Daphnia pulex: one gene and its partner. The protein of the gene in region 1 purifies or fractionates together with the protein of each later gene. This does not show direct contact. Links are inferred from orthologs where the notes say so. Each region holds a gene or a part of one and is shown on either strand. Other genes may lie near its edges. The genes, in order: tyrosine-protein phosphatase non-receptor type 9-like and leucine-zipper-like transcriptional regulator 1.

Region 1 (4,580 bases):
TCTTTCTGTCTGTCAGATTTAGTTGCAAGTATGGTCGCTTGGGTTCGCTTTGATACTGGTTCTGACAGCACGATTTAAAAAAAAAATATTTTAAAACAAATTTTAAAACAACTAGCTAATAGATGAACAATTTATATTTGTTGTCCTAAATGATAGTAGATTTTACTCATAATCCATTGGCATCGAAGTTAATCACGCAACATTACGGTCTTAACTCCTAACAAAATAAAGATATACGCTTCCTTGTTTTAGAGAATTAGCCTACATTTGTTACAAGTGATGAATGTGCATACGTATACAAAAGCGGTCAAGCAACCAGGGCCAAGGAGAAGTCAGTTGATGGGCTCTGAGAGAGTATGGCTGCATTATTGGTTGGAAAACCGAATTCGCGTGCGAACTCAAAAGATGCTAGTTTGATAAAAGTGGTTTATGCTAGTCTGCTTTATTTTTATTGCTATCAATAAAGAATGGCGCTGGATGACAAGAATACAAATTGTCTAATTTAAAATCGTTCAGACAGTAATAAAGTTGATCGTTATCGATCTGTCGCCTGTCGGATGCAAATCATTCATCTAGCAAGAAGATACATGATGCGTGCATGCACGAAGAGGAAGATCGCTGATGCGGATATTGTGAAAGTGGTGTAAAAGGCGTAAAAGTATAGACAAGAATGCTGCATCTGCGTTTAGATTGCGTGTGAGAGACTTTTACGACGCGCTGAAAAGTTTTCTATCTCGTTATCTCCAGAAACTTTTGAGTGGGAACTGCACCAAGATTACAAAACAGTCCCCTTTTCATTTTCTGTCGTGTCTTTTTCTTTTTGTAACACTGTCTTATGATATTGCCGGTCTGGTTTTTCACTTGGCCACATTTTTGCTCTCCAAGAAATCTGGAAACTTATCACAAGTTCTACTTCTCGTCAGTTTCAAGGGAGAGAAATAAGGGGTGCGCATATAAGAAGAGGGCGAGAAACATGAGCCTGGGAGTTTAACTGTACCATTTCCGTGTGTGCGTGGAAAGGTCTGTCTAGTCATATTTATTCCCATCTTTGTTTATTCATATTAATTTCATCCACTACTACCCAACGTCTCTGGTTGCTTCCTCTCCAACACCAGATCTACAATGTCCTGATTGATTTTACCCGACAGCTTCTTTTTTGAAGCTTTTATCACGCCGTTCTACAGGGCGAGACCTGATAAAAAAAAGGCAATATGAGCTAGTTCGAACAATCGATTACCTACTAATCTACCATTAAGAGTAGACTAGTCAGATGACGGACTTCTCAGAAAGTCGACTACATCATTCCGAGAAACATGGGCGTTGAGAAGCAAGTGCTGGCATACCATTCATTTCACATTTGTTGAGCAATTATGATTTATTTCCTTCTTAAGTTTTTTTTTTACCATTGTTAAATTCTATTTTTTGATTTTGTTGTGTCCATATGACCATATTCCTCTTCCGCCGTGCAATAAATGGTTAGTTTAGTTGAATGAAGTGAAGAAAACGTACCCTAGATGGCGCAGAGAACCAACAAAACGTCGCTACTGTAATGACCAATGCAGTTGAAGGGCAGCTGTGTTGGTGGCGCTTTTTCAAGTGGTGGCTAGAAACACTAGAGTCGCTATCCCCCCACAATTCAGTCGTATTCAAAATGGCTGACACGACACTGTCGGCCCAAGAGGAATTGGTAAGCCAATACATTTTTTTTGCTTCATAATCCTCTTCCCTCACCCGTACTGGTTACACTCAACTCGTTTTGTTGCGTCACGTTCAAACGTCTCCTGTCAACACGTGGTCGCTGCCAATCACCTGTAAAAAAAAAAAAGAAATCATTTCGTTTTCATTGTTGAGTAGTTGCTAGAAAAGAATCGGGGAGGGAGCACCCCTTGATCGGTGTGTGCTACCGCGGCGCATTGGGAAAGCCGCCCGTGGTATTATAGTGTGTGTTGGGCAGACGCCTCCACAGTGCGTTTTTCCCCTAGTGTGTTTGTGTATGTTCGTGTCTTTTTGGGAGAATCTACTCCACACCCACATTTTCGCGATTTCCCACTCGTTAAGGTATCAAACGTGGTGTGTGTGTTCATTTTCAATTCCTGGAAGAAATCTTCTTCTTTTGACCCTTGTGTGCGTACAACGCCCAAAATTCATTTTTGCCCATTTCAGTTTTTCTACGAAATTTCTTTTCGAATGTTTACCGTTGTTTTCCAAGCACATTGCATACGTCATTTTCGTGGGACCTTGAAACATCTTGAACCGATAATCATTAATAATAGGGAGGCTGTTTTGTGCATTAAAAATGGGAATTTTCGTCTGCTGTGATTGTCAGGGACGGATTTCCGCCCTGAGCAAATTTTTGTTTCTTATTCAAAAGAGGCAGTGAAAAGAACTGACCAAAAGGGAGAAACCCAAGAATATTCGTTTATTCTCCTTTTTGTGTTGCCAGTCTAGTGGTTACCTCATCACTTGCATCCGTGAAGCAATCGGATACTTTTGTGCGTTGAAATGTCCAGTGTCTGAAGTGCAGCTAGAGAGAGATACCACTGAATTTTTTATTGCGAAGAGGAAATGACCGGAAACAGTTTAGCAAAGGGTGTGAAATGTCTTGAAATTTTGAAGGCGCTCATTTCGTATGCATAGGCAACTAACCGACTTTTTGGCCGGAAGTTGGGAAAGAGAAAGGAAGGAAAATTAGAGCGAGGGGAAACAAATCTCTCCCTCTCTCCTGCTGTTGTCGTCGTATTTCTGGCCTCAATTTGCGGCGCATGTGCAAAACACGTGTTGCTCCTGCGGATGCTTATATTAATAAAAAAAAGAAGGAGGCTAAGGGAAAAACCGGCGGATGTTTATTGATTTCTTGCGGATTGGACATTGGCAAAAGACCCAGGGAATGTATTTTTGGCGCCGATGCCAACAGCAAAAAAAAAGGAAAAATGATTGGGGGATACAGAAATTGCTTAGTTGCACGCACACACAACACCATCCGTGCATTTCTTTTTCCTAGCTGGAAGAATCACCACTTGACGGGCGTAGCGAGTCGACAAGATGAGGAAAAACAAGTGTGTGTGTGTGTTGGTTGGAGCAACAGGAAAATGGCTGTTGTGGCTCTTTGTAGTTTAGGATATTCGTTTGATGAATATTCATGTTTCAAACCCGTCCTGGTTGTGAGCAGATCCGGGCTGTCTCTCTCCTTATTTTTCCGTCGTGTCTTTTTTATATATTTTGTGTTTGATTCAAACAAAGACAGGGTGGGGACTCTGCCAAAATTCCTCTGTCGTCATCAGATTTTGATTTTCTAGGAAAATGGGGACCATCTGCATTTCGTCTGGCACGAAATATCAAAATTATTTTTCTTCTTTTTTTTCTGAAATGGCTGCAGTATTCAAGTGGGAAACCCTCGAGGGGAGGTGGGGGGTGTTCCAGGTCGTTCACAGTATCGGCCGATCGGTTTCCGAGACGTCTTTCATCAACAGCACAGGAAATGTTGCCGTTGCAAACAAGCTGTATATATTGTTTGTCTCTGGTATTATTCTCACATTGTGTGTATGTGTCGGTATTGATCTCTTGTTGTTTTCTCTCTCTCGTTATCTTTTCGTTCGTTCGTCACGGCTGGATCTCTCATTCTCACGGACAGGTGGTGGCACTGTCGCAAGGAGGAAGGATTTTCTATTATTTGTTGACGGGGCCATACGCTTGGAACCTTATCTCGTCAACAATAGTGCGACGCACAATCCGTTTTTAGAGAAGATGACGTCGACCTCTGAGTTGTTGACGAGCCCCAGTTTATCTATCGTTTCAATCCAGGAAACAATCCGCAAAAAATCGAATATCGTAGCTAGAAGTCCAGGGTGTATAATTATAACCAGGTGAAAATCCTAAATCCCACGTTATTTTCTCTCCCTTGACTATTTTCTAGAGCCATGTGGGATTTGAATGAATTTACGCTCCTCTAGGCGATGTATCATGTAGATCTCGTAGACCCAGGGAGAAATTGGTCAGGCCCTTGTGGTAGCCGAGAGAAACGGAGGCCGCCGCCGCCTGCTTATTGGACGCTCGGGTCTCTTGTTTCAGCTTTGTTACGTCACGTGACCAGTGCGTTCAACTCTTCAGGTCCAACCGAGCGTATACCAACCAGAAGGCAGAGAGAGAGAGATATGCTGCCAAGGGGAAAAAGAGAAATAAAGAAATAAAGAAAACCCCCCCCCCCCCCCAACTCTCTTTTGCTGGGTTTCCAACTTTAGTAGTTGCCGGTCGAGGCGTTCCAGCGGAAGCAAGGGATTGTCAGTCGTTGATTAAACGGCCCGTCTGACGCTCTCTCAAGGGTCCACTGCACTTTTGACGAGACACGGTGCTCCTCCGTGTTCCGAGACTTGTACACCAAAAATATTCGCGCGACTTTCGACTATCAAAAGAAAAAAGTGTCGTGTGTTTGCGTGCGCGTGGGTTGTCCTCGACGTCTTTTCAATTTGGAAATGTGCTGCTTCGTATGTTCGACATCAACACAGTTCGGTTTCTAGTTTTTTCCCAGAAAGAGCGAGCGAGAGACGAGCCTTATTAGAAAAGAAATAAAAACGATTCGAACA
Region 2 (4,500 bases), on another chromosome or scaffold:
AAAAAAAAAATAAAAAACAAAGAAGAGAATGTAATTACAGTAAAAGTTAGTTGATGTCGTAATATGTTATGCTTACGTTCACCGTAGAGTCTTCAGGCATGAAAGATCGAAACATGGCTTCAAAGTAAGAACATCGCGCTGCGAGGATTGCTTTATGCGCTGGAATGGATGTCCCTTCTAAGACTAATGTAACGTCACAAAAGTCCTTTCCTATTGAACGAACAAACATTTCCATGTCTTGTTCAAGATTTGTGCCTGAAAGAAGAAAAAATAAAACAACTATAAGAATATAAGAACTACCACAAAATACCTGTGTTATCAAACTGAGGTTCAACTGGAACCCGAACGTGTGGCACTTGTCTACGCCGAATTATTTCAACCATGAGAGGTTGATCTAACGTTTCAAACTCGTTGCTCATAACGATCGCATTGTAGTTTGATTCCTTGACAACGAAGCGTAGACAGAATTCTTTGATAAAATATAAACGAAGGGTTGTCGCATTAGCTAATGCTGCCAAAACGTTACGGTGATTGATAATCGATTCTAGATATTGTACACTCAACTGCTCCAGTCGTCGCATATGAAACTAAGGTTACAAAAAAGTAATGGTAAGGTAAAAATTTTTTTCCAACCCTACATCATATAAGATACATTACCTGAACAGCGAGTCTGTAAACATCCATTATGAGCAGCACAACACGGTTGCTAGTTGCTGGTTCCTTCCCCGCTGCAAAAGTAAGTGAATAATAGTTAAATCACGTTACGCTAATCAATAATCATAAAACAAACTCACTTTTCAATGTAGGATCAATCGAATCTGTTTAATAAGAATGAGGCGATAAACCAAGTAATAAAACATTAACACGAATCATATAATAAAAGTGTTGAAATTTGTCAATACAAACCAGTGTAAATGAAGTTCAGTATCATTTCAAATGCTTCTGGAACGGCATCTTTTAAACGAACTTCTAGTAGTGGAAGATCTTTGAATGGTACGAAAGAGGAACCAAAAACCTAATAAAAAATAATGAATTATGAAAGATTTCCAAAGAAAATGTTGATTATGTTAATAACCTTTTCTAAATGTTTGTCGCGAGCCTCTTTGGCTTGACGAATTCGAGTTCTGAGCCACTGAGACCGTGCAGCAACTAGGGCTACATGAGCAGGTATGCGAACGGGATTTTCATCGGGACCAACAACAAATTCGATGTCGCAGAATTGCCGCGTCTCAAGCAATTTACCAAAATCATCGTGAAGCGTACACTGTAAAAATACATTTGTCAAAATCAGAAAAGATCTAAAAAATTCATTAACTTTGAAAAATCTTACCTTAGGATAACTTGAGAATTGGAACCGAACCATTTCTCCGCTTCTAACATTATTATCAACTGTGCCACCAAACACATACCTAATTTTAACATTTAAATAGAATTGGACTCAAATGTTTTGAATACATAAAGTAATTGATGAAAAATTACATTCCGTCACCGACAACGGTAGCTGCATGGAACAATCTACCAGAAGGAATCTGGTGGGAATCTGCAGATGGTGAAATCACTGACCAAGTTTGAGTGCACAAGTCAAAGCTATAAAAGAGAACATTCATTATTCGTGATTCATATGAGAAATGTCTAGATTCGTAGGAATATCAGGGACACATACCAGTGTAGATCGTTTGGAAGAGTACTATCAGCTGCTCCGCCAAACACGTACAAGTGACGGTCATAAGCCACCTACAAATAATTGTTTCTCAATAATTTTTTTTTATTACTGAAAATTAACTATAATAATACCATGGTATGACCATAGCGTCGAGTAGGTGGAGGAGGAGCACAACGCAAAATGTGATCCGTAGTGATACGTGTCCAGCTAGGAAGTTAGCGAAATTAGAATACGAGAAATTGCTATTAGATTTCGAGCATGCCTCTTACCATCTACTCTTGAACTGAAACTGGAAGAGATTATTCGTGATTTTGGCTCCGCTTTGACCGCTAAACACGAACATGGAATCGCGTGCCACGGCAACTGGAAAGTTGCAGCAAGTAGGGGGACATTCTCCAATTTGAACAACTTCTTCCCATGTTCGTGGCTCACCCTTTTTACCGGATGAATTCATTAGATAATTTTTTCCAGTTCAAACTAAGTTTAAGATAAATTATGAAAAGTCGAAAATATATTACAGGGAGCAAAGAGATAGTCCACATGTCATTTAGCCTAGCATTTCCATCATAACCTGCAAATATCCAAAGTTTACCGCCATGAACAGCTGCTCCATGAGCAGAACGAGGAACGGGAGTTCTATGTGAATTATGAAACAAATATTATGTAAGATAAAAAAATATGTAGTAAAAAATATATCCTTACTTTCCAATGAACTTCCATTCAACCCACTGGCCAGTGGGAAAACGATACTCAAACAAGTCGTTTCGATTCGTTAGATTAGAATTTGAGTGGATATCCCCAGTGTACCCACCAAAGACAAACATGGATGATTCATGTACCTTTTGTGATGTATAGAGTAAGATTATATGAATACACTTTTTTATGAATTAATGAAATGCTACTTACCACGGCAGAGTGATGATAGCGTGGTGCAGGAGGGGTTCCCGTAGAAAATGCTCTTCCCCAAGATTGCTCTTTTACATCAAATCTAAGTAAATCATTCAGCATGTTTTTTCCATTATCTCCCCCAAAAACATAGATGGCTTCCTTGTGTGCTACAATAGTGTGCTTACTCCGTCTGTGAATGATATTAAAACAGATTAACCATAAGTTATCCCATACATATAAGATAGTTGGAAAAATGATTCTTACTTGAAACCGACAAATTCATCACAGTCTGGCATGCGTTTCCATTTGTGAACAGTTTCAAATGGACCCAAATCTAGAGTAAGGGACACAGCTGACTCAGGCCAATTATGGTCAAAGCCGATCTTCGTAAAACTATCTGACATTGTGACTGAAAATCTAAATCCACGTTAATATCTATCTTGACATATTAGACAGGAAGTCACTTCTGAATGTTTGGTTTCCTGTGTGTAGTGTTGGTGATACTGATGTTGATAGTCTGTTGTGTTCCTCCTTACCGTCCTTGGTGTTACCAAAGCAGACGACCAAACAAGTAGAATAATTTTACTCGCCATCTATTGTGAAAAAAGAGTAAGTTTGAAAACTGCAAAAAAAAAAAAATCCATTACAGGATCCCTAGGAGAATTTACCATCACGTAAAACAAATGTATTCCTCTAGACGTACCAGCAACTGCTCCTTGAAAAGTCGTAATATTTGGCATGGTACGTACGTTGCGATAGATTACTGTTAAGACCATGCATGCACTATTATTGCACTTCCATCTCGTCAGAAAGCCACATATTACTTGTTTCTGAAAACTGTCGGTCACCGCAAGTTGCCTGAATGGAACAATACGAATGCTCATAAACAGAGGTCTCATATAAAATCTGGCTACTATATTGAGGGCACCATCGTAATGTTAATTCGGATATTACTATTTTCAGACGGGCTGTCCTAATTTCCATTATCCCATAGCTAACATCGGGCTATCCAAGCCCAAAATTTAAGAAAAAAATAGGGGATATTTTCCGGAATATGCCCAGCTTTGATTATTTCCTTCTATAGTATGTTGCCATTAATTTTTGTTTTGTTATGTAAGACAACAAAACGGAAGATCAACTATCTAAAATCATCAAGGTTTCCTTTTTGAATCTAGGATGTAGAATTTATTGTCGTAATTGACTGGCGGTAGCCTCAAGCGACCAAAGTCCCTTATTTCTTCTCTCAAAGTCAAAACTGTACAACAGTCTGAACATGAAAAACAATCTCGGCATTGTTAAAATTTTTTAGTTACATTTTTTTGATCGAGAATCAAAGATCAGACTTACGTTGTACGAACTACGAAACTGTATTTTTCGTTTCCGGTTCGACATACCAAAAACGATCACGAATTTCGCAAATTAAAAATAATTTTTCTCTCTTTGATACAGATTTTAAAAGAAAATAAATCAATCGGGCTTTTTTTTATCTTAAGTAGAATCAATTACCCCGAAACACGACTCGATAATCAAATTCTAAGAAAGCACGAAACCTTCAGTTTTTTTTCATTAATTTGAATCAACAATTCTGATTTTTCCGGTACAATTATATTACTTTTCTGGTTAGAATAGTATACAAGTAAAGATAGGAAGAAATTATAGTCACGTTCAGCCCACAATCATAGAATAATTTGAGCCAAGTGAATCAAATTCAAATTGTTTTTGAAATTACCAATGTCGACAATTTCAGTTTTGGAGTAGAATTTGACAGTCTTGAAGCGGTCGTAGAACATGAATCCGTTGGTGGAAAACGTACCGCAGTAAGTGCCAGAATCAATCCAGACGAAAGCGGCAACGTTATCGGTAGCCAAAGTAATGTTCACCGTCCACTCGGATCTCTGAGTAACATAGACTTTGCTCACATCGACGACCTAGAATCGCGGCCAGACAAA

Evidence for each region.
Region 2: the proteins of tyrosine-protein phosphatase non-receptor type 9-like (region 1) and leucine-zipper-like transcriptional regulator 1 purify together in Homo sapiens (affinity purification with mass spectrometry; 3 studies listed by BioGRID and IntAct, with this or other methods). This does not show direct contact. The link is inferred for Daphnia pulex from reciprocal best matches to the Homo sapiens genes PTPN9 and LZTR1.

Annotation. Positions count from the first base shown.
Region 1 is NC_060018.1:4,169,610-4,174,189, forward strand, and holds the start of tyrosine-protein phosphatase non-receptor type 9-like, read left to right. Parts: upstream 1-1,543; 5' UTR 1,544-1,549; coding exon 1,550-1,687; intron 1,688-1,859; exon of another isoform or gene 1,860-2,058; intron 2,059-4,216; exon of another isoform or gene 4,217-4,580. UniProt on the Homo sapiens protein: Protein-tyrosine phosphatase that could participate in the transfer of hydrophobic ligands or in functions of the Golgi apparatus.
Region 2 is NC_060017.1:2,282,893-2,287,392, forward strand, and holds the start of leucine-zipper-like transcriptional regulator 1, read right to left. Parts: upstream 3,111-4,500; 5' UTR 3,073-3,110; intron 3,040-3,072; 5' UTR 2,956-3,039; coding exon 2,816-2,955; intron 2,742-2,815; coding exon 2,570-2,741; intron 2,503-2,569; coding exon 2,366-2,502; intron 2,300-2,365; coding exon 2,182-2,299; intron 2,097-2,181; coding exon 1,933-2,096; intron 1,871-1,932; coding exon 1,795-1,870; intron 1,735-1,794; coding exon 1,664-1,734; intron 1,588-1,663; coding exon 1,480-1,587; intron 1,410-1,479; coding exon 1,331-1,409; intron 1,265-1,330; coding exon 1,076-1,264; intron 1,016-1,075; coding exon 907-1,015; intron 819-906; coding exon 795-818; intron 729-794; coding exon 658-728; intron 588-657; coding exon 311-587; intron 256-310; coding exon 77-255; intron 1-76. Other genes in the region: beta-mannosidase-like, read right to left, coding at 4,228-4,479. UniProt on the Homo sapiens protein: Substrate-specific adapter of a BCR (BTB-CUL3-RBX1) E3 ubiquitin-protein ligase complex that mediates ubiquitination of Ras (K-Ras/KRAS, N-Ras/NRAS and H-Ras/HRAS).